Daphnia pulex: one gene and its partners. The protein of the gene in region 1 purifies or fractionates together with the protein of each later gene. This does not show direct contact. Links are inferred from orthologs where the notes say so. Each region holds a gene or a part of one and is shown in the gene's direction. Other genes may lie near its edges.

Region 1 (7,769 bases):
GATGCAAGTACGACGGTAACGGGCGTCTGGCTTTGATCGAAACGGAACTCAACGGCCGCGAACTCCCGCCGCACGCCTTCTCCTACAACCAGAATCTGGGCTTGCTGGAGGGCGTCAACGACCTGCGCGTCTACCGCAACGCCTTCAACCGCACCGTCATCCAGGACTCGACCAAGCACTACTTCCGCATTTCCGACCGCGATCAACACGGACGCACCGCCATGGCCCTCATCAACATCAAGGGCTACGACGCATTCAAATTCGAGCTGGACTTTGACGTCAGAGGACGAGTGCACCACCGCCGGATCACCATCGGTCAAAAGCTCATGAGCTACAACGTGACGTACAACGCCGAGGGTGGATTGCTCCAAGTCCAGCATCAATCGCAAGGATTTTCTTCCGCCGGATCCCTGGCCGGAGTCGGAGGAAGGAGCTACGCCTACACTTACGACGACAACGGCAACATTTTGACAATGTCCAACGGAGAACAAGCGAAAATCAGTTTGGTCTACGACGCTGGCGATCGTGTCAGTTCCTTCGGCGAAGGGCAAACGGTCGCCTACGATTCCCGTGGCTTTGTCGTCCGTCGCGGCGCTCTGAAATTGGCTTACAACGACCGCGGGCAATTGTCGTACGCCAGCAGCGAGACCGGCAGCTCCAAGTTCCGCGTCTGGTACAATTACGACTACCGCGGTCGTCTGTCGGTTTGGCGCGACGACAAAGGCAACGTGACCCAGTTCTTCTACACCAATCCGCTCAAGCCCCAGCTGTTGACGCTCTTGCACTGGCCCAAGGAGAGCCGGACATTGAGAATGTACTACGACGTCAACGATCATTTGATTGCCGTCGAATCACCGGAGCAGCGCTGGTACGTTGCCAGCGATGAAACGGGCACGCCTTTGGTCGTGTTCAACGTTCACGGCTCCGTGATCAAGTTGACGGAGCGGACGCCGTTCGGATCGACTGTCCTCGACACGGAATCCACCGTCTACATCGGCGTGGATTTCCGAGGCGGAATCCTCAGCCCGCACACCGGAATGATTCATTTTGGCGGCCGAGTTTACGATCCTTCCATCGCTCAGTGGCTCACGCCCGAGTGGGAGCATCTCGTTTCGCGGTTGAAGAATCCCCAGGACATTTTCGTCTACCGATTCCGTGGCAACGATCCAATCAGCATCGACACAGAGCCCCGCTACATGACAAGTAATATTCAAATCTCTTTTTATTTTAAATCAAAGTTTCGTTGGAAATTTATTCTAACCAATCGACTTGATTGATCACTTTCAGGTCTGGATGACTGGCTGCAACTATTTGGCTATTCGTGGAACAACATTGTCGGTGCGGAATACAGTTCGGCGGCCGTGTTCAGTCAAGTATCTGAAACGGACACGAAGAATGCCGTTGGACACTTTGGAGTCATTTCCGGCTTACGCTGTCTGACTGAAAACGTGCAAAAAGGATTTTCCGTTCTCAGTTTTGTGCCGCCTCCCAAGCTGCGGTCAGGAGGCGAGCTTAGACGGAACCCCCTGCCCAGTATCGCTTACCGGAAGCCGGCCTTGGGTGAAGGTATCCTCCTCTCGCGGGTGGGTGGTCGCGTGTCTGTCACTTTGTTGCCCGACTCGCAGGGCAGCAGCGGTGGCATATTGCAAGACGTGTTGGGTTCGGTCCTGGGCGACAGTTCCACCACCCACTGGTTAGACATCCGCACGGGAATGGGCCAACAGGAAATCTTCTACTTTGTCAAGGAAAGTCTGGCGAAATTGCGCGACGACCAGGAAGATTTGAAGCGTTTGAGTGGCCAGTTCAACATCACGCTCGTTGAAAACCCGACGGAACAAGGAGGCGGGTCTGAATTGCGATTGGCCAATGCGGATCTATCCGTCAGCATCAGCTACGGTGTCGAAGTGGAAGCGGCTAGACAGCGAATACTCCGGTCGTCTCATCGGCGAGCGGTTGAAGTCGCTTGGCTGCGCGAGAAACAGTTGGTGGAAAGCGGATTGCCCGGCCAGCAGGTGGACTGGAGCGTTGAAGAAAGGGTGGAGCTGATGACCAACGGAAGAGTCGACGGCTTTGTCGGCTCGGATTTGCACAGCATCTACGACTACCCGCAATTGGCCGATGATGCCAGCAACATTATTTTCCGGAGAGACGACACCAAGCGAAAACGGCGCAAGAGCCATCGCTTGTCGTCACGCCAACAAAGACGGGGGCAACACTGAAAAAAAAACAGGGTTTTATAATTAATCCACCAAACCCATGATCGTACTTCGAAACTAAAAAATATTGTGCTTTGTAAAAAAAAAAAAATAACAAAAATAACAAAAAAATCTGATTATGATTACGGTGCTCTGTCATTCTAATTTGTAATCTTTGACGGAATCATTTGCGCTGTATTTTTACGTCACCAGGAAAAGAAAAACAAAAAACTGCTCGAGCCGAAAAATGAAGCGTAGTCATCACCGTCTCATGTGATAATCAAATATCGAGATGGAATCCGAGTAGAAACATTCTTCGACATATTTGATGGTTTATTCATCTTTTTTTTTACTTTCCTTCCCTGTCCATTTCTATATATTACAAACACACCCACCAGTAAAAGAGATATATTGAAATCACTACTGACATTGGATCCTGTTTTCTTTTGTACTTTAAGAATTGTGTTTAGAGTTGTAACGTTTTTTTTCTGTTATTCCTTCGTGTACATATATTATTCTGATATTTCTTGACCGAAGCGATGCGTCGACATCACACCGCCAGATTTATTTGGGACTCTTCTCTATTGGCATCATTTGTTGCAATATGTTATTTCTGAAGAGTGTGCGATTTGATGACTCTACATGCCAAAATTCTCCTTTTTCAAATGTGCGTGTGTTATTTGAACATGGCGGGCCTAACTTTTGTGTGCGTCAAGTGTCATAATATTCACATCTTTATCGTATATAATAATCTCGGTATGCAAAACAAAAAATTCATGAATCTGAATGATTATGTGCATCTGATATAAATACATATTGTTGTACTGTAACACTTTTGTGAATTTTTTAAGAAATACGGTTGAGCTAAAATATCCAAAATGAAATTTTCGACACGTTGAGCGTTAAGGAAAACAAATGAACAAATGAGACAAATGAAAATCTAGAAAATCAAGTTTAAGATAAATGTTATAATGTTATATTTCAAGAGTAGTTCTCAGTGAAAATTCGAGATTAATAATTATGGTCACCAGATCTGCTGTACACGCCCCTCGGTCTGATAGTCCACCCCTTCCTCCCATTAAAATTATGAATAAATAATCCGATCGTTTGCTGCACGCGCGAGTTTCCGCGTTTTTTAAAAAATAACCCTTTGACTTCATAAGTTCTCCGTATCACTGTTAGAGGACAGCACCATCAGATGGTGGGTGGGACAGCTTCGTCTGCAATATTGTCAGTTGTCACGAAACACAGCAGACATAATATAGTGTATGCAACCTGCTGGCGATTCAACGTTATTGTTATTGAATCTAATTGTTAGCCGATTGATTGACGATTGATTGACATTTTCTCGTTACTTCTTCGTTTAATAAAATGGCTGCGCTAAGGCACAGTTTGCAGCGAGAATTATTTTCGCCTGCTGAAGAAAGATTAGTTGGATTGGCTCATGTGACTAGTGTTGGCAAGAAAAAGAAGGCACTTCCTTGTTTTTTGTGCGTTGCAGTTACTGCAGATCAAGGCATCGGTGCCGTAATATACAAGGTATACTTACTTCAATTTTCCCATGCACCAAATTATGTTCTTTATTCTGTCATTATTTTCAATAAACAGGTAAAGAAAACTGAGAAAAACAATGTTTACAAGAAGAAGAGTAGCTGGCCATTGAAAGAGCTCAAAACTGTGGATGGTATTGATGGCAACAAGGTATAAAGAAATTGTTTTCATATTTGTCTGGTTTGCCCATGCAGACCCTCAAAGAGTTGTGTCATCTTCTTAAAACAATTGTAATTTTTTATTTTGTAGGAAACAGCTGAATTCAGCATTCATTTTGACAAAGTATACCTTTGGTCTGCATCTAATGTTCAAGAAAGGCTTCTTTTGTTTTCCATTTTATGGAAACTTTGTTCAAAGTATTTGCCGAAACAAAGTCCAATGTTTGTTAATATCCCTCCAGGCATCATAGAAGATTCAGTGATACCAGAAACATCCGTAGCATTAGATCATGAAGGTATCAAATTGAAACTTGTGAAGCATTTTATAAGTTGTTCACCTGTTTGATTCAAACTAGTCAGTGGTCCAATGGATGGAGGCATTGGTGAGGAGGATTATCAAGCCCTTACAGACAGAGAAGAGAAAGACCTGGAACGATTATTATCTCAGTCCAATAATGCCTTGAGTAATGCAGAAAAGTTTATGGAGCAACTGGCTAAGGACTTGTCTTTACTTGATGGAGTATTTTATGCAATAAAAATCTATCATTTGAAATATCATAACTGAACTGATTTCTACTATAGGCAAATATTCAAAGCTTGATGGGCTCTGAAGCTCAAGTCATACAATTGTTGAACCTTCTCGAAGCAGCCGAAAATGAAGCTGCATCCATTGAAACCGAGTTAGACAAGTATGAAAACATTCTACTCCAAGCCCGGGTTGCAATGGCAACAGTAGGTGAAAAGAATGTGTCCCTGGAAACTGCCAACCGTAACAATCGTCTTCTACTTATGGAACTCAATAATTTAGTCGTAAGGCTGCCGTTTTCAATCCTCGTTTATCCGCATCTACAATCAATGTGTTTGTGGTACAGGCACATTTAGATATTCCACATTCCCAGCAAGTAACTTTGAACAATCCAGACTTAAATAGTCCTACAGGCCTTCAAAACGCTATAATAGCTGCTAAATCTCTTCAACGTGCTATGAATGCTGAACTAAAACCAGGTACTTGCATTTTTCGAAACCAAAATAAAATAATTCTATTCTCATTTCTCTAATCGTCACTCTTAAGGACTTGAGAAAATGGTTGCGGTTCAAGATCAGCGACGGCAGTTGGAGAAATGGCGAGCAAAATTTACACCCACAGTTACTCGCCAACTCAACAACCTCTTCATTCACTTAGTAATAAAATCAGTTTATACTTACGCTTTTTTTTCCCTTCAATAATATTTTTTGGTTTTCTTTTTAGAGCAATGATTCTGGAGAAACCAGTAGTCAAAGCTCTAGAAGTTCAAACTCTTCGCAAACAACAGTGTCACTGGCTAAACACGGGAAACTGCATTCTCAACTACAAATGTATGCTCCCTTAATGCATTGGCTAAAAGCAACAGACCATGCCTGCTATGAGAAACTACTCGAAGTATACACTACATCAATATGTAAATTGTATGAAAGAGATCTACGGCAGTTCTTTGATGAAGCGCGTTCGAAAGTGATAGGATTGCGAGAGAAAAAACGTAAGGAGAAGCAATTTTTTATTTGAATCCACCTTTAGTGATTTCTGGTTATAACATGTTTACCGCAGTTCGTGGAAGTGATTCGGGTTCAGACATGGGCACCAGGCATTCCTTGTCTATTAAAAATCCTTCAGGAACAAATGTCGCCGCGGCAAGCCCTAGTGGAACAATACAAATGCCGAGTCAAAATTTGTTAGGGAATGAAAGAGAGCTTTGGACGGTACAATATACTATACGAAATTTTAAATGTGTAAAATGTATTGATAAATATGTTTATTACAGGTTGAAGTTGATATTCATGAAAGAAAACGCCTAGAAGACTTGCTTGAATGCGCACTAGCCGAACTTGAACCAGTATGTCTAGTGGAACAAGAATTTTGTGTCGCATTTTTTGCACTGGATCAAGGAGGCCATGAAGCGGATGAATCATCAACAAGTAACAAAACCCCAGAACGAGCCATTAACGAAGAAGTGCGCAAAATGATGAGCGTTTTGTTTACTGTTCTTGAACCGGAGCTTGTGAGCTTTCTTGCTACTTATGAGAAAGTAGATAGCTTGTAAGTGATTTAGAATACTGTACTTTTTAAATTGGAATGCTTTTTTTTTAATCGCTATTATTATTTCTAGCTCACCTTTGTACGTCCTCGTGAGACTTAGTCAGCATGTCTTGTCTGCAACCGATACCGGTTCCTTCCTCAGTGTTACATTTGGTTCATCTTTGGTGCACGTGAAGCGAGCATTCGATCGGTTTTTTATGACTCAGCTTCGCTCGATTGAAGATTCAAAACAGCCTAGGAAATCCAAATGTGGGATTCTTCCTTTCATTTCTAATTTCGAGGTAAAGTAACAAAATTAAAAATTTGTAAGTTAGTTGTATTTTGAATTTATTTTGAATTCCCCACGGCATCCTTTTATTTCATTTCTAGGAATTTTCTGTGATAATTGAAAATATTTTCAAGAATTCAGAACGGCGGGTTGATGTTGACAAATGGTACACACGTTTAGTCCGAGCCATGTTTGAAGTAATGCCAAGGATTTCTATAGAGAACTCTAGGACTCCAGCTGACATGATCAAAATGGGTATTTGAACGATTATTATATCATTTTTCTTTTAATTCAGAGTTTAATTCTAAGAAACAAAGAAATTCATTGCTATTTGTATTTTGTATTGTTTTTTTAATAGAAAATTTTCATCGATTACACGCTTTGTTGTCACAGCTAAAAATCGCAGTCCTGGAAGCCGAGAAGAAAGAAGCAAAGCAAAAATATCAGGAAGCACTTCAATCATACGTTATACAATATTTTGGAAGGCCTTTAGAGAAACTCAATGTAGGTTACCTAATTAATGTGCTAAAAATGTGAAGTAATTTTGTTTTTTGTTTTTCTAGTTATTTTTTGATGGTGTTCAAGCTAAAGTTTCGCAAGGAGTTAAAGAGTCGGAAATTGGCTACCAAATGGCGTTTAGTAAACAAGAACTACGAAAAGTGATTTCCATTTATCCTGGAAGAGAAGTTAAAAAAGGTCTCGAATCTCTGTACAAAAAAGTGGAAAAACATCTATCTGATGAAGAAAATCTGTTACAGGTTATTTGATTTTTTTAATGTATAAAGCATTATTTAATGTAATGCTGTTTAATAGGTTGTGTGGCGGGCCATGCAAGAAGAATTTATCCGTCAATACAAATCCCTCGAAGACATGATTCAGCGTTGCTACCCTGGTGCGCTCATCACGTTGGACTTCTCCATGAGTGATATTCTTGAATATTTTTCAGACATAGCACGCTCTCACTAATGCTTGATTTTCAGAAACATAATTAAATTACATGTTCAAAAAATTTTCCTAAACAGCGATACATATTGAATGAACAAAAGCAGTATAAAAAATACGTTCATCCCGTATCCCTTTAAGAATAAAGTACCACCTACCAGGTTATCGCATCTATATATAACATATACGTGGACTTGGAGAAGAAAGTAGAATACTGGAACGAATATATGAGAAGGCATTGAATGCTCGATCAGTGAATCGATGAAGGATGAAGGCAAAGTTTTTTAAATTTAAATTTCATTCAACCAGGTGGCAGGGGCTGCATTAGACAAGTCTCTACATTCTGCCCATTCGAAGTGAAAGAAGTAAAGCCAATGCTTTTACTGGGGAGCAGACCTATTTATTCATATGTTCATTGATTGAAAATAGTTTTCAGTGTATTGGCAGGTTTTGGTTTTCACTTTTCACTCATTAATTGTAGAAAATTGTCTAAAGAGTAAAGAACGCCGAACGAAATGAGATTGTTTGGCATCGCTGCGAATCTGCGATTAGTTTGACATGAAGTATCGAGATTATCGTCT
Region 2 (7,755 bases), on another chromosome or scaffold:
TCGTTGATTTATTATCCGCATTGTTTGTATAGAATGCCCAACGGCGAAGGACGGCCAACCCGAATTTTATTGTCCCACGCCAGACCGAAATGGCAATTGGCGTTGCATCGACGACTTCCAACTAGTAGGACGCTTTGATTCATTATAGTTTTCTTCGAATGAATAATACTCATGTGCACTTTCGCGATTGTAGTGTGACGGTGTGCGTCACTGCCCGAATGGCGAGGACGAACTTCCGGTCTCCTGCCTCTTTTATCGTGTGGTAAGTTACTTGGATTGATCGCTTTGCACAGATAATTAAATTTGTCTTTTCGTTTTTTAAAAGGTTGAAACTCATCTTTTGAGCGTAAGCCAACGGCTTAACAGCGACGAAAACCGACAGCGAGGTGTCCCTCGCTAAAGTGTCCATCCTATAGCCGAATTCTTATATGGTCTCATTATAACAAGCCGCTGCCATTCGTTGTTCTGATTAGTTCCACGTTTCTATGGTAATTCCCGACCATACGTCTATAAGAATTACAGTGCTAGTGTGAAGGCGCCTTATAAGACGCTGGAAATTCCACGAAACGGGACTGGATATGGACACCATTGTGTTATAATTCAGAAAGTTCTGTGCGCAGAGAAATCATCAAATTATTTCATATCATCCTTTCTTGAAAAGAGAATGAATAAATGTCAAATAGAATTCTCAAATTAAACCTCGCGTCGCATTTTTTATTGACACTCCAAATTACGCAACGCTTAGTAAATAAAAACTGAGTTAAAATTCCAAGGGTGATGAACAAATATATAGGTCACACCTCGAAGAAGATTATTCATTTATTATTCCGTGATGTAAAGTTAATTGATTTCTGTGAATTGTTAATAAGCCAGATAGATATCTAAAATATTCATCCATGCAACGAGAAGTTGCGGTCCCAGGAATCCGCAGGAATCGCACGTAAAGACCTTGAAGGATCTGGGGAATTTATAATTCATTCCTAGCCCGGGCAACGTCGTTTGTGAAGACGAAACATTCGAGTTCTAAGTAAGGAAACTCATCCCCAAAACAAATGAAATGGCTGCTCCGAGTATAAAACATGAATAAAAACAACCCTTGGTAGTTGATGGACCTTCATTTCAGCGCTCTATATCGAAATACAATGGATGTAGAATCCCCATCTGGATATGATATTTTGCATAATGGTTATAGAGTGGGATTACAACCGATGCTTCGTTGCGGTCTCATCTCACGGTCGGATCTCCTCTCCCGGAGAGCGGCATTGGTCAGATCGACATGTTATTGCTACGGCAACTCTTAAGCGACTACGCATAGACGACAACTATGTTGTATTATACGGTAGATTTCGAAGGCAGATGGCAGAATGGATTCAGCAGATGAGAGGTATATATATAAGTATAGATGCACGAGCTGCGCGGTCATCGTGTAATGTATGCTGAACCGGGGGTATGTATGTACGGGGGCCGAGCATCAAAGCTGTTCTCTTTCAGTTTGGCTGGCTGTCTCTTCAAATCGTGTGTCAATCTGTTTGGATCGGACGCAATCTGTCAGTCCAGACAAATTTGACCTTTTCACTATTGCCATTAAACATGACCATCGATTACTGCTTTTTGCCATATTATCCTTTCTAGCGCAAGTAGAATGCTACAATGAATCATTTGCCATCAATTTAAAAGTATAACAAATAAATAAAGACTCCAGTTTGGGTTTATCGTAGTAGGTTATACATGGCGGTTGAACATCCGATGCAATGCTGAACGAATGAATTTACGAGCAGTGAAAAGAACAATACCGCTATTATGCCATAATAACGCCTACGGACAATATGCTAATTAACATTTGATGGAAAGAACAAAGTTTCGTCCTAATTTGCGTAAGATACTCGACGAATTAATGCAGCGCCTACGATCCTACGTGAAACAACAACAGTTTTTGTTCAAGAAATCGAGCATCAGATGTTTCTACAACGAAACAATCGCCTAAAAGTCCCGTGGGTTGCCATCTTTATAAACGATGCGTTAGTTTACATAATCCCGTTTTGTTTTCGCTCTGTTTTTCAGATAATGAGACGATCCCTTTTTTTTAGCAAGTATCTCCTATGTATTTTTATTTACTCGATGTATTATTAATGAACATCTTTGACGAAACAATCAACTTACCACTCTACATTTTAACAGGCGTGCTGTGTTGCATTATCATTTCCGCAAAACTAATTGGTAATTGGCTCAATGCTATTATCCCTTTATATTAAGGCAATTTGTTAGGCTCACTTGTTGTTTTACGCACAAACTATAGGATAAAACATAGTTGGACAACGTGCTGTGTTATAATAAGATAAATATTTGAAATTGGGCATTATCAAAAATCGTGAGCATAACGGGATGACTACCGGATGTGTAATTAACGTATAAAATCGATTTTCGAAAAAAACAAAGAAAAATAAAATGACAAAATGTAGAGTAGGCTACCTACCTTCCCAATCGATCCTTTCGCGTTTCCCCCTTACTAATACGGCGCTACGCCAGCCGTTTTTTTTTTTTTTTTAACTTTTAAAATTTTAATTAATAGATTAACCTTTAGTTACTTAAGAAAACAGTCAGCCTACTCGTTGTTATCAAGTGTCACACCCTACACACAAAAAACAAAAAACACCGTGGCTTTTCCCATACTAAGAAAAACTAATCTATAAGATATAGGTCATAGGGGGAGAAACCGAAAAACGCGAAAGAGATTAATTCATATTTAGGTGGGTGCTGTATTTTGTTAAGATGATTTCAAAGATATTGCGTAATAAATAGGAGAAAAATTAATTAAAATAAACCGGCAAAGGCGAGAAGAAATATTGGAAAATCGATTGTAAGCCCCAAAATCGATCTCTAATGAACGCCCAGTCGGCCCAGTGACGAAAAACTGCCAGAGTGACAAATCATGGAATAACAAATAATAATAAAATATTTATCTTAAATATACGAAGGTGATAATTCTAGCAACCACAAGGAGCGGAGAATCAGGTAATAATTGAGGAATCACTAAAATAACCCAAAACTGAATAACAATTGTGACAATTGAATGTTAAACTAGGTTGTCAACAAAACACAAGTTGTTTGTTGTTTTCTTGGTAGTTGTAGGTTTGTGATAATAGAGAAATGAATATTGAAGTTCTTCAAGAAGAGGCAATGCTCTCTGCTTCTGTTTCATTGTCATCAATGTTGCAGCGCCCTGATCAGCTTGAAAAGGTAAAAGCTCATTTTTTGGATTGTTTCCGTAAAAAAACCTTAAAATGTAAACAACATAATTATATGTTATAACCTGATGTTATGTTTATTTGTTTTGTTTTTGTTTTATTAAATTTAGGTGGAGCAGTACAAACAACGAGTAACTAGGAAAAAAACTTCAGTTGAAGCAATGCTGAAAACAGCTGTGCAAAGTCAACTTGATGGTGTGATAAGTGGGCTGCAACAATTGCAATCAGCATTGGTTGATATTAATGACATTCGTCATAGGTATCAAAGCACATTTAAAAATGTTCACAGATGACTTCTAGACTACTACAATTATTATATTGTGTTATGTTGGCATTTAAAGGTTACATGAAATTGAAGAGTGTGTCACAACAATTCCCACACTATGTGAAAGTGTTAAAAATGTAAGGCAAGAACATGTTGTTTATTCACAATATGCTGTTGCCATGGAAAATTTGAAACATATTTTCACTGTTCCAGAAAGGTAACTTTTACATAGTTTTTTAAATTTTAAATTACTGTTTTTCTTTCAATTGAACTACTCTAACTAATTTTCAATGGCAAAATTAAAAGACATAGTTTATAATCTGGGATACATTTTAGACTTTAGTCACTAGCTGCAAGTTATTGGCCAACTAAACATGAAAATATGATGCTAAATTAACTTAGAATTACCAGCTTAAATATAAGAAACTTAGAAATGTTATTATTTCATTATCAATATAGAATATAACCATTAAAAATCCGACTTTTGTTCTAGTGTCGATAAAACTCGCCAGTGGATATCCGAAGGAAAACTTCTTCATGCGCATCAAAGTCTTACGGATCTAGAGAACTCACGTGATGACTTGCTCTACGAACTCCACAGGTTACCTAATCATTCTTTGCAAGATAAGCAAATGCTTAAGGTCTGAACATATTTTCTATTTTTATTCGCACGATGTAAATATGTAATACTCATTTAAGGAATTGTCTCAATCCGACAGGCGTATTTTTCTGGAGTGCAACAGTTGTCAGAACAATTGGGAAAGCAGCTGTGGTTACTTTTGGGTAGATCTTTGAACACAGTTCGGAAGGAACCGCAAGTGATTGTTACAGCAGTTCGAATTATTGAGCGGGAAGAACGTGCGGATGCTTATGCGGTGCAGCGTCAAAAGCAAAGTGGATTCTTGCCACCGGATAGACCAAAAAGATGGAAAGGTGATTTTCAAAATGTTAGTGCACATTTAACACATTTAATCTGTCTTATTATATCAACTTTTAGCAAGAGCACTGGAAGTTCTATACGATGCGGTCGTTGAAAGAATAGAGGGCAATCAATTCGAAGAGAGAGCTGACAATAAAATGTGGCTAGTGCGTCACCTTGAGGTGACTCGTTTGCTGATTATCGAAGATCTTCGTGTGGTGAAAACTCTGTGCGCCCCTTGCTTTCCTCCTCATTGGGATATCGTCAATCAGTTTTACCAGAAATATCACACGAGCATCAGTAAACACCTCGAAGAAGTGATTACAGCTGGCCTGGTTGGCAATGAATTTGTTACACTGTTGTCATGGGTGCTACAGACATATCCAGGTCCAGAGCTTCTCCGACACCAGGATGTCAACATCGACCCTACTTCCTTAGGGCCAATTTTGAGCGATTCTACCATAGAAAAGCTTTTCCAGGTAGCTCCAGAAATTTGTCATAATCTGCTCCTTTATACGTAACTTATGACATTTGTACATTTATTTAGGAATATATAAGTAATATGGCCTCAAACTACAACGACTGGATGCAAAAGACTGTTGATGCAGAGGCCAGGGATTGGAGACGACCCATCGTTCCGGAATCGGACGGCGATGGTCATTATCACACCGAGTCGATCGTTATCATTTTTCAAGTAATTATTCTTAGTTTCTTTTGGCAAATCGTGATGTAAAACGATTATTCACTTTTCGTTTTAACTCATTGTTTAGATGGTGGAGCAAAATCTAAGTGTGTCGCGTACAATAAGCAACGAATTGATGATGCGGGCATTGATTTTGGGACTGGAACAAATCACGCAGTATGGAGAGATGTACCGAGAAGCGATAAATCTTTTCAAAAACAAACACTTTGAAGATAGAAGCCAAGTATTTGCGTCGCAATACAGTTACATTTAGTGAATTACTAATTGGTTCTCTCTCTTTCAAGGTGCCTTATTTTACACACTACATGATCGCAATTATCAACAACTGCCTGCACGCGATGGAACTTTCTCAGCAAATGAGATCTCGGAATGGGAATAAGGGTGATCAAAGTGGCACTTCATCATTTTTCAACAAATTCGAAATTCTTAGCCAAACTTACGATGTAAGGCCTATAACCTATTACTAGTTTAAAGAGGACCCAAACTAATAGTGATTTGAAAATCAGAGCCTTAGGAATGAGGCAGCTGGATTTTTGCTAGATGAGGCTTTCCTGGATCTTGAACCACACTTTCAGGATCTGTTGACTCGCAAATGGGTCCTGTCGACCGTTCCCGTGGATACCATTTGCGCAACTTTGGAGGACTATTTTCAGGTGAGAGTTATTTCCCCGTGCCATTTGAAACACCACCGAGCTAATGTATTATGTATTTCAGGATTACATGCACTTGAGGCCACGCAATTTTGAATACGTCATCCGGCAAGCTGAAATATGCATCACTCGAAAATACATAACGTCCATTTTCCAGAAGAAGCTGTCGTTGAAAGACGAACGAAGAGAAGTAGCGGACAAAATCATCCAGGAAGCTGGGCAAATCGAAGCTCTTTTAGCTCCTGCATCTCTCAGTCGTGCTTTTTCGGCGGATGCTCCTAAGGTCACCGAAGATGCGGCAAAGGCGATATCTGCTTTGGCCGAAGTCATCAAATGTGATTCAGAAATTATAACCCTGGAGCTCATAAACTTCATCAAAAAATACCCCGATGTCAGTCAAGATCAGCTCACGTGTCTACTGAGTCTTAGAGGAGATTTTGGAAGAATTGAAGCCCGCCAAAGAGTGGCCGACTTGTTGTCCAGCGGCTCCAAAGACGAGAGTGCTAGATCGACGATTTTTTCTTTGATTACTGTTCCAAGTTCCATTTTCTCGTAAACACTCTTTCTTTATCTACGCATGTTATCCGATTTAATAAAAATGCTACAGCATTCAATAATGTTTGTAACACCAACGACGATATTGCATTTTCAACGTGTCACAGTTGAATGCGCGTATTTTCCGGGGGTTTCCAACTTCAATTACGGTTCCTTAAGTATCATAACGGCAAGTAACTATGTGTGCGTCACCGAAATAACGTTAAATTTAGTTTTGGCTTTTGGTTTATAGTAAAAAATCGATATGCGTTCTTCCTTACCAAAAGGGAAGCCTAGTAATTTCTCAAAGTATAGCCGTGTTGGGATTACATTTCAAGTAATCTAAACCGATTTTTATACCGTTCATCTCTTGTACTGTTTCACATCTTCACGAGTTATTGTATGTGGCCTAGGTGGCTTATTGGCTTCATTGCTACACAAGGATTGTAAAATTTCCGTTATCCGAAAGTGGATGAATCGAATAGTAGATAAAAATGAACGGTGGTTGGTGGTTTTTTAGTCAAATGTGTGTACGTGTATAGAAATAGGGCAACTTCTCGACATTTTCATAATATTTAGACCGCATTGAATTTCAATTTTAAGCTATTTTCTCCCCCAACAGTGAAAAGGAAACTCAACTTTACTTTTATGCTGCCTTTTAGTCTTTTACTTCGCTTGGAGCTGGTTTGCTTGTGTGCTGAGTTTGAATTGAAGTTAAATGTATCACCAGTAGATGGCCTAGAAGCCCGCTAGGCAAAAAAAAATGAAAAATAAACAGCTGTTTGCACTAGTAGCTGACTAGCTGTTAGTCTGTTACCTTTTTCCTTACGAAAAACCTATGCCGAAACATTACATTTTGACGTTAAGGTGAACAGCGTTTGCAACATGGCTTCAGTTTGAATACTTGGTAGTAACTAGTGCACGGAAGGTGAGTAATAATATTTTCTCGTGGTTTCTATTGCCTTGCCAAAACCGTTTGTCTATTTAGAGTTTTGTGCATCATAGACCCGTTACTCAAGTCCTTTCAAATTAATGGTTCGGTGTTTAGTTTAAAGTTACTTATAGTGTGAGGTGTACTGACACGTCATTTGAAAATTGAAATACTAATCTACCTACATGTGTCACCACTCATCAGAAGCAAAAGTGACATGTTTATCTTGGGCGTCGTTGGGACCGTTTTTTTGTAGATTACGACTACTAGCAATTAAATTGAGTCGGTTACTAGAGATAAGTTCTTTTAGGTGTTTATCGTTAGTGTATAAATATCGGGGATTTTTTCAAATGTCAAACATTCTAAAGAGGCGGTAAAATTGTAGCAATCACAGAAGGAGCACGGTTGCAAGAAAGCGTATATACATTCCACATGTGTCTAAAATATGATGCCAACAAAAGGAAATGATTCAAATGACTAATCTCAGTGCTTTCATCAAATCAAATGA
Region 3 (7,592 bases), on another chromosome or scaffold:
TCTTCCGTCTGATCCGCTGCCACTTTTCGTAAAATGCGTCGCATAATCTTACCCGAACGTGTTTTGGGCAAGCCAGTGCAGATCTATTGATTTAGTCCACATTTACTTTTATATTATTATTCGCTCACAAAACCATTTCCGTTTTTATCCGGTTTACCTGTATTACGTCCGGTAGAGCGTAACCAGCAATTTTCTGCCTGACAGTCGCCCTGAGTTCAGATTCCGTTTTGGCATCCGCCGAGTAGCCGTCCTTAAGTATAACGTAGGCGTATATACCTTCACCCTTGATATCGTGGGGATAGCCGACAACAGCTGACTCTGCTACAGACGGATGCTGACCCTGTGAGGAAAAAAAAAATACGTACATCAAATTACTAAATGATAAAGCTGTTGTTTATGAATTAAATTACTAGAGCGTTTTCCACTTCAGCTGTACCAAGACGATGTCCACTAACGTTAATCACGTCATCCATCCGTCCAGTAATTTGATAGTAGCCATCACTATGCCGTATGGCTCCATCACCGGTGAAATATAAACCACGGAACGGTCGATAGTATGTGTCCAGGAAGCGGCCGTGGGCTCCGTAAATGGTACGCGCCATTCCAGGCCACGGCTTTTTCAAGCACAAGGCACCCGTAACATTATTGCCTTCTAATTCTTCGCCCTGAAAAATATTTGCATAATTATAAAAAGGAAATTCAAATCAAATTCATGAGCAAGACATCGTACTTTTTCTCCGAGAATAGTAGGCCAGATTCCGTACATTGGTCGCATGGGCATACCGGGACGAATTTCAGAACCAGGTGCCGATGGTCTGGGGCTGATGCAAATTCCGCCCGTTTCCGTTTGCCACCACGTGTCCACGACGACACACTTCTCCTTGCCAACGACCTTGTTGTACCAATGCCAAGCCTCTACGTTGATGGGTTCACCCTTGAAATGAAATTGAGCAGTTAATTACACGCACGCAACGTAGTACGTTGGCATTAACGAAAGGTTATGACAATCCTACCACAGAACCGAGAGTTCGAAGAGAGGTAAGGTCATACTTTTCAACGTGTTCATTTCCATGTTTAAGAAGCAAACGAATGGCCGTCGGCGCGGTATAAAGTTGGTTGACTTTGAGCCGCTGAACTGTTTCCCAGTATCGACCTGCAGGGGATCACACGCGTCTTAACATCAACGTAGACACAAAAAAAAAAATCAATGGAAAAAATCGATCGACCTGGATCGGGATACGTCGGTGTGCTTTCAAACAGAAGAGTGGTTACTCCGTTTGCCAAAGGTCCGTACACAACGTAAGAATGGCCCGTGATCCACCCAATGTCAGCCACGCAACCAAAGATGTCGCCTTCGTTGCAATCAAATACTAGCTTATGTGTCAAAGAGGCATAAAGGAGGTAACCGGCTTGAGAATGGGCCACCCCTTTAGGATTTCCTGTGCTGCCAGACGTGTAGAGCATGAAAAGTAAATCTTCACTGTCCAGGACGGCAGGTTCACACTCGCCACTCTCTTTAATCATCGCCTGATGGGAAAGAGGACATATCGTTTGATTAATTCGTTGCCTTGATTATAATTTTGACTAGCGACAACCAACCTCGTCGAGATCGACATCAAGAGAAGATGAAACTACAGGATTTCCCGTCCTCTTGGCTACGAGGACTGCTGTGACGCTCGGACAATTAGCGACCGCCGCCACAACGGTCTTTTTCAACTCAATCAGTTTGCCTCCTCGTACTCCTTGGTCAGCAGTAATAACTACTTTGGCTTCCGCTAATAACAGAGATTTAGAAAAAACAGATTTGTTTTAAACTTGAAAGAATAAAAGCCTTTTGAAGAAAAAAAAAAAACGAGAATCAATACCATCAACGATGCGACTCGCCAACGCTTCCGCACTGAATCCAGCGAAAACGACAGAGTGGACGGCTCCAATTCGGGCACAGGCCAGCATAGAGGCGACGGCGAGTGGACAGGCTGGCATGTAAATTGCTACTCGATCTCCTTTTTCCACTCCATGGGATTTGAGGACATTGGCAATCTGATTCATCATCGTGTACAGCTCACTGTGCCACGTCATTTAGAAAAAAGAAAAACAATTTTAGAAAACATGTAACAAGACAGGTTCATTAAAAGTCTAACCCGTAGGTGACCCGCTCCTCTTGACCGGGTTCGTCCTTTTCCCAAATAAGCGCTACTCTGCTGGCATCCTTTTCCTTGTGTCGGTCGACACAATTGACTGTCGATAAAATATTCAAACCAATTTGTTGTACTTTAATTCAGAAAATTCAAGATAACTAATTCATCCGGTATACGTGACTAGCGTTTTTTTTTTTTTTTTTAATGTAGGCTGTAAAATGACATCACATCAAAAACCGAGATAAAACTACTCAATTCCCGTCATTATTTCGTAATAACAAGTGGTTTTAGTTCTTATGGGAGATAAGCCAGTCTGATAGACGCACTATCAGTAATTTGTACCTGAGACATTTAATTGGCCGCCAACGAACCAACGGAATAAGCCCGTCTCCATATCGCAATCCGAGACTTTTTCAAAATTGCGACTCCAGCGCAGGCGCTCCAAAGCTAGCGTACCCCAGAACAGGTCCGTCTGTCAAAACGCCAATTGAAAATTAAATGCTAAAATTATGCTGAGGGCTACAAAATTTTCATTAGTACGTTTCAAACAAGTCATAGCGCTCGAAATAACTGGATTTCATAAATCAAAGTTATATTCAATTCATCCACATTTGGCTGTATTAGAAAACTAGTGGATGCTGTAGGCAAAACGCCACGAAAACAAGATTTTCGAAAGCAGCGCAAAACTTCTTCCGTATTCAACAATAATCGATTGTTTTACACGCATACACACGTACTAGCCACATCGTCAAATATTTGATCTGTCCCTCTAGCTACAACCTTATTTTTAACCTTCAAACACAAAATCAACAAGGTAACACAAGGTTGTCTATAGCGTCTACGGCTCTACGTGGGCGCAGCATACGGTTGACAAATAAAGCCAACAAACCTCATTGATGCTGAAGTTGTAAAGTTCCTCGTAACTGGAACAGCCAGGAAAAACATCTTTCAGCTCAGGTAGACTAAACACGCTGGCCGTAGGTGAATCCATTGCAATTTTTCAAAAATCAACGACCGTCGTTCACTAAACAAGAGTTTTCGGCGATTTTCCTGTGTGCACTTATGGGTATGATGAATGTTTGATTCAAGTAGCAGAAGTGTTCACTGTATAACTAGAATGTATGTCAGGGAGCATCGAAACTTGTAAGTCCAGCCAGTCCACTCAACAGCCAAGGACTGTGATCCAAATGGGAAATGACAGAATGCCAGTGGCTACTAGACTCTTAGCGCAGCTGTAAACATACAATTTTTGTAAACATCGATTTTTTAAAAGATCGATAGATTAACTTTTGACATTTCTAATTTCTAAAACAGAAAAGTATTTATTAATTGAAGTTTCCTAAATGAATTTATGTTTAATAATTTATAACTGTATCTTGTGTATATTTGTTTATTAATCTTATAAAAAATAAATATTTTCTGTTTTGGTATTCATCCATAGATGGCGCAGTATATGCAAGTTGCAGTAATACAAATACATGACAGCGATTATGACCCCAGTCTCGGAATTCACCACAATATTTTGAAGTAAAAAAGTGATTTGTTGAAATTCCATCATGGACTTCCTTGCCGAAATGGAGCAGGTTTGTTGCGTGTTAAAAATGTTTGTAACATTTCTAAAACCGTACCACCGTTAAGGAGCCGTTTAATCCAAATGAATTCGTTGAACGTCTTGCTTGGATGACTATGGGCGTATCACATTCTTCTTCCGGCAGCGACGATTCTTTTTCCGCGACTGGTCTCTTGAATAATTTTGAGGAAACCATAAAGTAAGACACTTTACAAGGCCTGCGTTTGGTAAACACCTCATTGTTGAACATAAATTCTAGGCATCTCCAAGTTCTTCAGGTTCGTGTACAGGGAAAATGTGATAAACTTGAAACTGCTTGTAGAGAAGAGGAAAATAAACATTGGCAAAAAATGGCAAAACTTGAAGAGAAAAATAAGGTAATATTAAATCTACTTGTTGTAAAGTATGTTTTTTAATGCATGTCTTATTCAGGCTGCTGTGGAAGCATTTCATGAGTTGGACTCTAGGATAAATAATGTTGCAACAAAAGTTGTTTACTTAGGAGATCAATTGGAGAATGTCAACACTCCTAGATCTCGTGCAGTTGAAGCTCAGAAACTCCTGACCCATTTCAATGGATTTATTAAGCCTGGAGGGCCTTTCTCGCCTGTTTTTAGCGATAAGGAACAGGTGTGTTTGTTTAATATTTGAATGACGACACGTATTCATTATGTCCAATGTTCTTTCAGTTATTTGAAGCAGCAGACATAATCCAAAAATTACAGTTAGTTGCCCAAGAATTGCCTTCTAGCAAATACAGTGGTGCGCAGAAACAAATTGCGCAAAAGTACGACGAAATTGAGCGTTCGTTAATTGAGGAGTTCGCGAAAGCCCAGGTAATTAAGAATTTAATGTAAATCCATACTCACTCGTCTAAGCTTTACCGATGAGAATTCTTATGTAACCACAAGCAATCGCTCGCTCTATTAAATTTAATAACGACTATATTTGTTGACACAGTTAATTGAATTTAAATCCTTATAGGTCAAGGGAGATCGCGCTCAAATGAAACATATCGCCTCTATTTTAAGCCACTTCAAGGGATATTCCCAGTGTATCGACGCTTTCATTGAGCAAAGCCAAGCGGTATACACGATAGTATTTAGTATTTTCTTAGAATGAATATTAAAAGTTTTTATTTTTGCGATCAGGGTGCATTTTCTAGTGGCGACGTATTTTTAGATGTTGTCCCATTGTGTGAACGAAATGCAAGAGAAATGAAAGAAGTCTTCCATAACCCTGAACAAGTTATGGGAAAATTTATCCTCAACATTTTTTATGGGAAACTTCAGGTTTTGCTAATTACTTGATTTAAGAAGTGAATCACACGATAAATTTGCTCATGCTATTAGGGAACCATAAGTACTAATTTAGCAGATCGATCCAGACCCGATATTTATTTAAAGCGTCTGCATGAATTGTACTCCAGGTAATTGTCCATTACTTAAAATCATACATTTCTCCTATTTTGACCCAAAAATTTCTTTAAAAATAGGACAACAAAGTTATCGATTGATTTGGCACGCTACGACACTGGCAACGATCACGCGTTTCTATCAAAACTGGTGAAGAACATCTTTCAGCGTTATTTGGAATCATACATCAGGTGAGACCTTTTGAACGACTAACACAATAAATGACTTATATAATTTGCGTCATTGATTTAGCTTGGAAATTCGAAACTTGAAGGAGAGAAGTGCTACCGTTTTAAAGAAGTTCTACGAATACAAAAATCACCAAAAGAAACCTATCAACACTGGAGGGTAAAAGAATTGTGTAACAACTCCTAATCGTGCACCATTTTGAAAAAAAATTTCAACGTTGCAGGATTCAGGAACTAAGGCGGGATTTGCAGGCAGTCATCGTAGCAAAAACCGGTGCTGTCTGGGAAACGCATGGTGGGGAAACGTTTCTTTCAGAACAAATCGCCGTCAGTTTATTGGATGAAACCAAGCAGGCCCTCATCCGATGCCATTCCGTAAGCTCATTCTTTATTTAACTGCTTCGATCCCACTATTGACCTTTATTTCCTCGTTAAATTAGTTATCACGGTCGTCAGAATGTGCCGCCAACGCTGTTCAAATTTTGGATGTCTTGTTCCAGTTCCTTATCGACGAATTTCTTGATTATGCCCTCGAAATCGGTCTACAGGTTTTGTATTACATCGATAGTTGTTGGCGAATAAAATATTTAACTTCCTTAATTGATAAATAGGCTATACCGCCAGGAGAAAGCAAAGTGCAACCAGAGTTATATTTTTTTGGTGTAGTTCGTGAAGTCAACGCCATTGTTCATCTAATGGATAAACTTTTTCACGATAGCATTATCCCTTTGGTGGTGTAAGTTAATTCAAATATTTATGTTTGAGTCCTATTTCATAATTTGCTGTTTGTACAGATCTACTCCTAAGCATGGTGAATGTTTACAACGAAAGAAAACTATCTCAGAGCAGCTAGAAAACAAACTAGAAATTGGAGTCGATCGGTCTCTATCTGCCATCGTGGGTTACGTTAAAGTGACCCTACAATCAGAACAAAAGAAAGGAGACTTCAAACCAGAAGGAGATGAAGCTGTCATTGCATCTCCCGTAATTGTGCTTCTAACATTTCATATGACATTCGGCTAAAATAATTTGAACCCAATCTAGGCCTGTATTAAAGTGTGTCGCTTCGTCTCGGTCCAAACTGAGAGGATCAGAAATTCTCTTGACGGTAAAAATCAAGAAGCTGTGTTAAATGAACTCGGAACACGTTTTCATCGCGTCATCTACGAACACTTTCATCAGTTCCAGTATAATTCGATGGGTAATTTCTTTACAATTCCAAATGGTAGATTTTTAATCAGGATTGAACGATTTTTTTTCTTCTATTAAGGTGCACTTTGTGCCATTTGCGATGTTAACGAGTATAAAAAGTGTGTGCAAGAGTTTAAAGTTCCAATGGTAACAACGTTATTCGACACCCTACACGCATTGTGCAACTTATTGTTGGTTTTACCGGAAAACCTTAAACAGGTTTGCACTGGAGATCAATTGGTGAGACTAACTATTAAGGTTGAGAAATATGATTGATATATAACTTTTTTTATCGGGGTTTAGGCCGCACTTGATCGTTCAATCTTATCAAACTTCATCCAACTACGAGCCGATTTTAAGACTGCTCGGCTAGGAAATTATATTAAAACCTTGTCTGAAGATAAGTAAATGTGTACGTAATAAAATATTCTGTTACCAACGAATTTTTCATATTTAATTAAAATACCCAAATTGAAGAAAAAAAAATGTTTATTAAAAAGAAATGGTGGCTTTTATTTTTTTTTTCATGAGTTTGCCGCGCGAATGAAATCATGTTAAGTTTTCAACACAAGTAGTTTTCCACTGGTTGGGATTAGCGAACGAAATTAAAAAAGTTTCTAGGAGATTAGAATAAGTGGAAAACTATTGGGCAAGATAGGATACTAATAAATTAGGTGACGGAAGTTGAAAACTTTCCATACAAATAAAAAATTAGCCACCCAACCAAAAATTAACAATTCATGTTATTGACTGAATGTGTTTCCAAAATCACGCACCTGGGCTTAAAAACCCTTTCTCCGACAAATCATTTAGCGCATGCGATAGACGTTGTTCTCTTGAAGTGTGCACAGTTCACCCGTGAAATTCAACTCAATGTTAAAGTCCAGATCACGATTATTCTTCGCATTCGGCTTCATTCCAAAAACACCGAAAATCTCTTCGTTACGCTTGACTGTAAGATAATCATCCAGGTAAAAAACAGTTTGCTTCCAGTGCGTGTAAGGAGCATCGGGCGCTGTGCTGAATCCCATCCTCTTGTGGCATTTAGTAAATTCGATGGTAAAAAATGTTACCAATGCATGAACGTAGT
Region 4 (7,527 bases), on another chromosome or scaffold:
TTTCACTGTTTAGGCTACGCATGTTCCCTTAATGATATTAAAATCGTGGGAGATGTCAGTATATGTTATTTTGCAATTGGAGACCGTCTTTTGTTCGCCGGGACTTGTGACTATTATAATAACTTTTTATAAATAAGAAGTTTCTCGCACCGGGGCGCACGTATTAACTAGCTGGCAAACGCTACCACTTTTTGACGAGGATGTTGTATTGATCTACCAATAGTTTTAGAATCGTTCAGCCGCCGATATCGGGATGAACGATTATTGTAGTTTATGTATAACATGACGTATCAGACGGAAACGGTTATAAGAAAAAATTATCACACATTTTTAACAATTTCAATCATTTATCGCAAGAAATTATCAATGATTTCGTTTTTAAACCATGCTTGGCTAAATTGAATATGGTCACCTTCCACTTGTAGGAAATGGAGTTTTCCTTCATCATCCATTGCACGTAAACCAAGGCGATCCTAAGAGATTTTTTTTTAAATGTAATTAATAGAAAATTGTAATGTAAGACACGATGTACTTCAAGGTAAAGTTGCGAATCTTGAAGAGTGTAAGTTGAGTTCAAATCATTCTCCTTATAAAAACCGAACCATTCTGCACGGATATATTAAAGGTGAAGAGTAACACACTGTTAAAAATGTCGCGATTCAATTGAGCTTTAAAGCGGCGCGTACCTGTTTCAATTGGTTGGACAACTGTATCTTTAGTAAACTTAACCATGACGAAGTTTTTCAGTTGCTTAAGGTTATTTTTGTATGTATCATTTACAGACTATTAAAAGAAATAGCAGATAGTTTCGATTTCAGTTAAAAATAGGACCAATGAAAAATTCTCATACCCTTTCGTTATTGATATCCGCAAGAAATACACTTGCTTTTTTGTATGCCTTTTCATCTAGTGGATCATGCCAATATTCAGCAGGAGTAACAAAATTTTGAATCCATCTTGATAAAATTAGTTCTGTTAAAATTATTTTTGTAAATGTATAGGTCTCAAGTAGACAAACTTTTTGTAAGCTCCATGATTAAGTAGCGAGCGAACATAGTCACAAAATTTGACATCATCTCCTAGACAACGGGGTAACCCATATACACCTTGGTGTTGAGAGCCTAAAGTGACTAGATTTACCATCGGAGGATCAGGGCAACGTTGAGCTACAGCTCTCCTATAATAAGCAGAAAATTAAAATGATTCAAAGATAATCTTAACTATTCAACAATAAAGATATAATTACAAGAACTGCCCCCCTTGAGATACCCCTAATCCATGATATCCTAATGCTAATTTAGGGTCATTTTTGATCAGATCACACACAAATTCAACTTGATCGTTTGCATTCTTGATGTATGCATTTTCAAAATCCTACATAATATTGGAATTGTTGGTGTAAATTTTTAATTGAGCTATACTGAATTAATACCTCACGAATGGTCTTGCCAATCTTCAGCGAAATTACATAGACCTCAGGAATTTGTTGTTGTATAAATTTTTGTAGGCCCCCAATACTCAATGGATTGCAGCAAACATCACCTACATACCCATTTCAAAATTTATCATGAAATTGTGAATGAAGTAGAAACCTTAAATGTGATTACCTAATCCGTGCCAGATCACAATTGGTAGTATTGATAAAACCATTTGACAATTTATTAATAAGAGGAAAACACACATTAAGGGAAGTGTGTACTTCATTCTTGATTCTTTACCCAAGGAGGACTACTCATACACTTACGGGGTCAAGCTAATAAGTTGGCTTGGAATTTAGACAAAGCAGTTACGTAATTGAATTACAACCATGCACGAGTTTCTCACGTTGACATTTGACATTGACATTTGTGTATTTGACATTTCTTGGTGCTGGGCTGGCTTCAAAATTTATTCTTTTTTCAAGGTTAGTGTTGACTATTTTCAACAGGTGGCCAGGTTGGTTCATAATCGATCTCAATAGAGGGCTATTCAAGCGATCTTAAAAAAAAAGAATGTTGCAGGAAAAACAACAAAATCGTAAAAAGGTTATTAAAATAATTTAAAGTCGCTTCAAAAAAACGTAGAACTGCGGGTCATCGAAAGGGTGACGGCAAAATAGTTCACGAGTCACCACCGTTTTGGAGTTTTCCCATTTTTCTACGACACAACTTCCGTGAAAACAAGAACCCATTTAGAACTTAGTAAAATCAGATTTCCATTTTACCTCAGATTACCTTTTACCAAAACAAACTGGTATATCTGAGCGCTTTTTTTCTTTATGAGCCGTATTTCGTCATTAGCCACATTTTAGTGGGGCTCGGATTGCTCCCATGTGCTTGCGATTATAATGGACTCAACGTTGAATATTTTCTTCCATAATAGACGGCGACGTCTTTTTTAGATTTTTTTCTTTGTCCAACTTCAACTTGACGCACCAATCGAGGAATTTACTTTTTTTTGTTAATTACCTATTTACCTACCGTCTACCCTACCGAAATAAAAGACCGTTTTTTTCTAGCCGGTAGATGGCGAGAAACGAAACAACTGACAGAAATTCAGCAAAATGTCAGATTTTAATCATAAACATGAAAAGGTTACTTTTTTGTTTTATATAGGCCTACTTAGTTCTTCTTTATATCATTTGATTTTATTTGTTTTAAATACTAATTTTAAAGGTTTGAATATTAAACTCAATTTCTTGTTACAAAATTCAAATTTCTTTGCTGTGACTGGATACTCACATATATGACTGGTTATATTGACATATTGTATCAAACAAATAATGGGTTTAATTAATGATTGGTAAAGGTGCTGACAGGACTAGTCTTTCTTCAAGATGCTGCTTCTAGAAGTTCTCAGCTTACTAATGGAATGGTCAATATTTTGACTTCATTTGATGAAAGGCTTGCGAGACTTGAAAAGACCATTTTACCAGTCTACAATGAGACAAAAAATTTGCAACAGAAACAAGAAAGTAAATTATTAATGAGATCTCATATAATATCAATATTTCTTGTATTTCTAAATTTACAAAATCTAAATTTCTTTTTAACTTTCTTCGTGTTTATAGACATTGATAAAACATTAGCCTCTTTGGATCATGTCATTAGCTATTACAGTGTCAGCAAGGAAGTTGAGCCTGTCATAAAAGAGAGCCCTTCAAGTCAGGGTCTAGAAATTTTTCTCCAATCCCTCGGTCGATTGCAAGAAGCTATGCATTTCTTTGAGAGAAATAATCCACAGAGTGTGGAGTTAGAAAATGTTGTAAGTTTCATTTTTATTTACAATCACCATACCTTACAAACTTAAAAAACAACTTTTGTATTAGATGAGCCTATTTGAAACTGGCAAAGATAATATTATCAGCGAATTTAAAGAACACCTAGCAAAACATAGTCAAACCATTCCTGCTACAGCACTTTTGGAAGCTCTAGCAAATGATGAAGGTGAACCCCATTTATCTATAACTACCTGAAAATTCAATGTAATGTTCCATTTTCATTCCAGAGGAGATAAGTATAAATCACTTCTCTGCAGATGTGAAAGACAATTTGATGCAAATAGCTGATTGGCTTGTAACTCACAATGAAGATGACTTCATGAATGTAACTTGTAATCATCAATCATTAATCCACGACATATTAAATAAACTTTGTCACTGATTTACTTTCCAGGTTTACGCTCGGTTTCGCGCAAATACTGTGCAGAAAACCCTTCTTGGCCTTCGTGATCATTTGAGAAGTTCATCTACTGGGGTATCGAGTCACCAAGGCGTGAGTCCCGTAGCTGCCATGTCGGGAACGGCTACATTGCTGGTAATCTAATATTTATTGTGACTACTATTAGGCAATATATAATGAACTTCTTTTATAATTTTCAGGCAAAATCAGGTGTCAAAGCCAGTTATGACACTCCAAGTAGAAAGACATCTAAGAAACTACAGCAAATGCTTGAGCGCAAGGCCAACCAAATGCTTTTGAAAGCTTCTCAAACGTTGGAAAGCTCTACAGGACTGGCTTTGGGCCCCAGGAGAAGCGCTGCGGGTGAGAAGACGAAATTAAATTTATTTTACTTTTTCCCAATTATCATTATTGTTTCTTCTTCAGACAGTATAAAAGAAGATGCTGTCGAAGAACACGAAATCGAATCGTTCTTAACCGAATTCACGGCACTTTTGCGACTACTGCAGAGTGAACTGAGACTTATGTTGGGTATTGTCCCTTTGCCGCATCAAAAAGCTGTTCTGTCTATCATTCTCAGAGACGCATTGGAAATGATCTGTCACGATGCCGAGGTTGGAAATATTCTTGATTCAATTTCATCGGTTAGTCATTCTTGTACTTTACTAATTTTTAGAGCTTAAGCGGCCGAGCGCGCCGAAGTGTTTCTCGTCAAGAGTTCGGTCCCGTTTTGCTTCTTTTTCCTGCCTTACGCCATTTAGTGTGTTTTAAAGGCGACTGTGATAAATTGCTGGAAGGATGCGATTCTTCTGTTCGCACACGATTTTACGCAATGGTTAATAATCTCCATACAACCGTAAGCTAATAACTCACCATAATTTAGATTCGTTTTTATCACTGTGTTATTTTGTGATTGATTAGTGCGGCAAGGCCCTTGAAGACTTTGCAGAATCTGTGCGTTCTGAATCTGCAGCTCCATTGCCTAGAGATGGCACGGTCTATGAAATGACGAGCAATGTCGTTCTTTTTCTCGGCCAGTTGACTGATTTGTCTGACACAGTCGGTCCGCTTCTCGCCCAAGATCAAAGTTATTCCAACGCATTGGTACACACTCAACCCTGGCCGAAACCTCAGAGAAACAAAGCTTTACTAGGACTTTATATCAGTAATTCATTTTTCTTGTTCAGGTTTAACTTAAAATCTGGTTTGATTAACAAATTACCCTTTTTTTTTTAGAAAAAGTGTTGGTTCAACTAAATTTAACTTTAGTTACTAAAAGCGATGCGTACAGCGATTCTTCTTTGCGCTATATTTTTCGATTAAATAACAGCCACTATTTGTTAAGCGCACTACAGCGTAGTGGCCTACTAGACCTGTTGAAGGTAAAGCACAAAATTGTAGTCAAAGTAAATGTAATCACATATTTTGGTGTTTTTAGGTTGTGGAACCAGAATGCGAGCCGATTTACCGAGAAATGATCAACGAACAGAAGAGGCTTTATTCTCAAAGGTATTGATACTTTGTTCCTTTCCTTTGAATTTTTTGTTGAACTCACCGTTACTATTCAATTAATTAAATAACCTACAGTTGGAACAAGGTCTTAGCCCCAATATGGAATTCGGAAGATGTTCCAGCATCTGTACTTCTTTCCGGCAGGTTACGGGAAAAGGATAAAGCTTTAATTAAAGAAAAGTTCTCGGTAGGTCTTCAAAAGTTAAAATATAAGCTTTACATGTGTTAAAATGTTGTTTTTTGATCCGATAAATCTTTTAGACCCTTAACAAGGAGTTTGAAGAATTGTCCAGAGAGCAACGAGGTTATTCAGTGCCAGACGTTGAGCTTCGCGAGAGTCTGAAGCGTGATAACAAAGAGTACATCCTGCCGAAGTATCAGGCTTTCTATGACAAGTACAGCAACGCGCAGTTCAGCAAACACAGTGAAAAATACATCAAGTACTCACCGGCCCAAATTTCATCGGTAATCGATACATTTTTCGACGTTGCTGCATGATGATCAAAACGATCAAGGTTAACAAAAAATCATCCTGATTGTATTTTCAACACCAAATTTAAATTTATTAAAAAATGAAATTACAATAGCGACAAGTCTGAATTCTATTAAAACAAAGAGGAAATTATATCCTTCAGCGATGACTAAACAGCATGTACACACTTGTACAGGCACATTCCATTCCATTTCACAAATAAACAAAACCTGCTAAACGTTCAACTTTGACGTGTAGAACAGGAGACACATGAGAAAAATAAAACGGCTCTACCTTGTTTTGTGCATAATACTGATGACAGCTGTTGTCTTAGAAACGTAGCACCGCTAGATTAAACTGAGCCACTCGAAGGACGTTTAAACGCATCAAACAAATTCTAGAAAACAGATAGGACGCAACACTTGTCATCAGAAAATTCAATTTTGTCACTCCTTCACACCCGAGGACTAGGATACTATTTAGGGTCTTGGTTGGTAAGCCTTCGCGTTCTCGTCAAGCCTGTTTTGAGCACGTTTTACCATGTTCATCCCAATGCGCAACCTACAATCGTTATTTAAAAAAACAAAACGTTACAAAACAAGTATACAATAACTGAATTGCGATATTACCTGACAGTCACGGGAACAGTAGAATGTGGTTTGACACCCGCTGCACTTTTGCTGAGCTTCTTGTCCACACTTCAGGCAAGTGTAAAGCGGGTGTTGCTGTGGCTGCGGAACATCTCGTGAGAGTCGACGAATGGCAGGCTGTCTAGCAATGTCCGACTGCTGGCCAGGAAAATGTCTTTGCGCTTGAGCATTAATTGGCGGCGAAGACATGGGCATATGGCGTTGCTGCTGCATGATTTGGTGTTGTGCGTTTTGCAAGGAATGGGCTTGTGAATGTGGAACTTGCTGTTGTTGCATTCCGCTCAAGTGATGTGATACTGTCGGCTGATTTGTCAGCTGTTGCGAGGAAGATTGTTGTCTTATTCGCTGCTGCTGAACGGGTGCTTGTGCTTGTTGTAGGTGCGATCCAAGAATGGACATATTTTGCTGGCGCGAGGGACTGTCTCCTGCAATAGGACCAGCCAAACGATTGTGAAGTTGCTGAGATGAGCCCAATGACTGTTGCGAACCATTAGGGTGCATGTACTGGTGTTGTAGTGTCGCCTGTTGCTGCTGTCGATAAGGCCCAGCTTGGTAATTGACGGGTGCTTGCATCCGATTAGACTGCAGGTTTTGAACGTATGCTTGGTGTGCAGTTTGCTGTGCAGTTTGTTGTGGCCAAGTAGAATGTGGTGGTGGAACTGTTTGCTGAACCGCAGGCATGCGATGTCTACCTGTGTACTGTGCGTTAATTATAGGTACAACAACAGCAGTATTTTGCACTACAGTTGACTGATATGCAACCATTCCGTTATTCACGGAGTTGCCAGTCCATCCTTGACGTGGCATACCGGGATGTCCCTCCATCGCAACAGTGTTTGGGCTGTGTTGTGTAGGACCAGGCGTCTGCTGATTAACCTGACGATTTTGATTGGTGATCATTGTATTCAGCGCACCGATGGGCGAATGATCGCCTTGCGTAACAGTGTTAACTGGAGTCCGGTCGGCTGATGAACGTTCGACTGAATTTTGATTACTAGCTTGCATTTGGTTTGCCAATGTTGGAGATCGGAATGCTTCTGGAGTAGCTAGATGGATCGTAAAAGTCGGCATCGATGATTTCCCCGATGAGGGAGAAAATTCTACGCGAGACGGAAGTATAGCTGACTGATCTTTATACTTTGTCCCAATGTCAATAGCGGATCGCAGGTTGTTTTCTAACATTTGCTTCATATAAGTTGAATCCACGGCTGCCATTCCGTACCAATTAGCTTTT

Evidence for each region.
Region 2: the proteins of exocyst complex component 1-like (region 1) and exocyst complex component 3-like purify together in Homo sapiens (affinity purification with mass spectrometry; 5 studies listed by BioGRID and IntAct, counting the BioPlex papers as one, with this or other methods). This does not show direct contact. The link is inferred for Daphnia pulex from reciprocal best matches to the Homo sapiens genes EXOC1 and EXOC3.
Region 3: the proteins of exocyst complex component 1-like (region 1) and exocyst complex component 5-like purify together in Homo sapiens (affinity purification with mass spectrometry; 4 studies listed by BioGRID and IntAct, counting the BioPlex papers as one, with this or other methods). This does not show direct contact. The link is inferred for Daphnia pulex from reciprocal best matches to the Homo sapiens genes EXOC1 and EXOC5.
Region 4: the proteins of exocyst complex component 1-like (region 1) and exocyst complex component 7-like purify together in Homo sapiens (affinity purification with mass spectrometry; 4 studies listed by BioGRID and IntAct, counting the BioPlex papers as one, with this or other methods). This does not show direct contact. The link is inferred for Daphnia pulex from reciprocal best matches to the Homo sapiens genes EXOC1 and EXOC7.

Annotation. Positions count from the first base shown.
Region 1 is NC_060019.1:8,325,292-8,333,060, reverse strand, and holds exocyst complex component 1-like, read left to right. Parts: upstream 1-3,380; 5' UTR 3,381-3,566; coding exon 3,567-3,734; intron 3,735-3,803; coding exon 3,804-3,896; intron 3,897-3,995; coding exon 3,996-4,200; intron 4,201-4,260; coding exon 4,261-4,424; intron 4,425-4,486; coding exon 4,487-4,714; intron 4,715-4,776; coding exon 4,777-4,909; intron 4,910-4,976; coding exon 4,977-5,086; intron 5,087-5,153; coding exon 5,154-5,421; intron 5,422-5,489; coding exon 5,490-5,641; intron 5,642-5,703; coding exon 5,704-5,978; intron 5,979-6,048; coding exon 6,049-6,259; intron 6,260-6,347; coding exon 6,348-6,501; intron 6,502-6,604; coding exon 6,605-6,750; intron 6,751-6,809; coding exon 6,810-7,004; intron 7,005-7,059; coding exon 7,060-7,212; 3' UTR 7,213-7,364; downstream 7,365-7,769. Other genes in the region: teneurin-m-like, read left to right, coding at 1-1,203, 1,288-2,219.
Region 2 is NC_060017.1:4,103,172-4,110,926, reverse strand, and holds exocyst complex component 3-like, read left to right. Parts: upstream 1-2,860; 5' UTR 2,861-3,012; intron 3,013-3,082; 5' UTR 3,083-3,147; coding exon 3,148-3,237; intron 3,238-3,355; coding exon 3,356-3,504; intron 3,505-3,586; coding exon 3,587-3,727; intron 3,728-4,003; coding exon 4,004-4,151; intron 4,152-4,229; coding exon 4,230-4,443; intron 4,444-4,507; coding exon 4,508-4,908; intron 4,909-4,976; coding exon 4,977-5,123; intron 5,124-5,199; coding exon 5,200-5,355; intron 5,356-5,416; coding exon 5,417-5,575; intron 5,576-5,638; coding exon 5,639-5,785; intron 5,786-5,846; coding exon 5,847-6,338; 3' UTR 6,339-6,396; downstream 6,397-7,755. Other genes in the region: uncharacterized protein LOC124194259, read left to right, coding at 33-124, 194-262, 326-400. UniProt on the Homo sapiens protein: Component of the exocyst complex involved in the docking of exocytic vesicles with fusion sites on the plasma membrane.
Region 3 is NC_060021.1:6,827,574-6,835,165, forward strand, and holds exocyst complex component 5-like, read left to right. Parts: upstream 1-3,583; 5' UTR 3,584-3,694; coding exon 3,695-3,721; intron 3,722-3,776; coding exon 3,777-3,907; intron 3,908-3,967; coding exon 3,968-4,085; intron 4,086-4,140; coding exon 4,141-4,338; intron 4,339-4,397; coding exon 4,398-4,544; intron 4,545-4,692; coding exon 4,693-4,794; intron 4,795-4,859; coding exon 4,860-5,000; intron 5,001-5,060; coding exon 5,061-5,137; intron 5,138-5,203; coding exon 5,204-5,314; intron 5,315-5,375; coding exon 5,376-5,471; intron 5,472-5,535; coding exon 5,536-5,686; intron 5,687-5,751; coding exon 5,752-5,859; intron 5,860-5,922; coding exon 5,923-6,047; intron 6,048-6,105; coding exon 6,106-6,295; intron 6,296-6,355; coding exon 6,356-6,512; intron 6,513-6,581; coding exon 6,582-6,742; intron 6,743-6,805; coding exon 6,806-6,910; 3' UTR 6,911-6,941; downstream 6,942-7,592. Other genes in the region: acetyl-coenzyme A synthetase 2-like, mitochondrial, read right to left, coding at 1-83, 158-340, 411-665, 731-934, 1,014-1,153, 1,227-1,527, 1,600-1,775, 1,866-2,065 and 3 more; protein arginine N-methyltransferase 1-like, read right to left, coding at 7,312-7,592. UniProt on the Homo sapiens protein: Component of the exocyst complex involved in the docking of exocytic vesicles with fusion sites on the plasma membrane.
Region 4 is NC_060020.1:3,977,939-3,985,465, reverse strand, and holds exocyst complex component 7-like, read left to right. Parts: upstream 1-2,440; 5' UTR 2,441-2,542; coding exon 2,543-2,572; intron 2,573-2,708; exon of another isoform or gene 2,709-2,731; intron 2,732-2,787; coding exon 2,788-2,953; intron 2,954-3,049; coding exon 3,050-3,243; intron 3,244-3,307; coding exon 3,308-3,425; intron 3,426-3,486; coding exon 3,487-3,584; intron 3,585-3,653; coding exon 3,654-3,794; intron 3,795-3,859; coding exon 3,860-4,022; intron 4,023-4,085; coding exon 4,086-4,273; intron 4,274-4,335; coding exon 4,336-4,515; intron 4,516-4,580; coding exon 4,581-4,824; intron 4,825-4,895; coding exon 4,896-5,041; intron 5,042-5,097; coding exon 5,098-5,168; intron 5,169-5,246; coding exon 5,247-5,358; intron 5,359-5,432; coding exon 5,433-5,669; 3' UTR 5,670-5,755; downstream 5,756-7,527. Other genes in the region: palmitoyl-protein thioesterase 1-like, read right to left, coding at 348-473, 533-606, 687-783, 851-956, 1,019-1,177, 1,247-1,374, 1,433-1,542, 1,608-1,704; uncharacterized protein LOC124192964, read right to left, coding at 6,157-6,204, 6,273-7,527. UniProt on the Homo sapiens protein: Component of the exocyst complex involved in the docking of exocytic vesicles with fusion sites on the plasma membrane.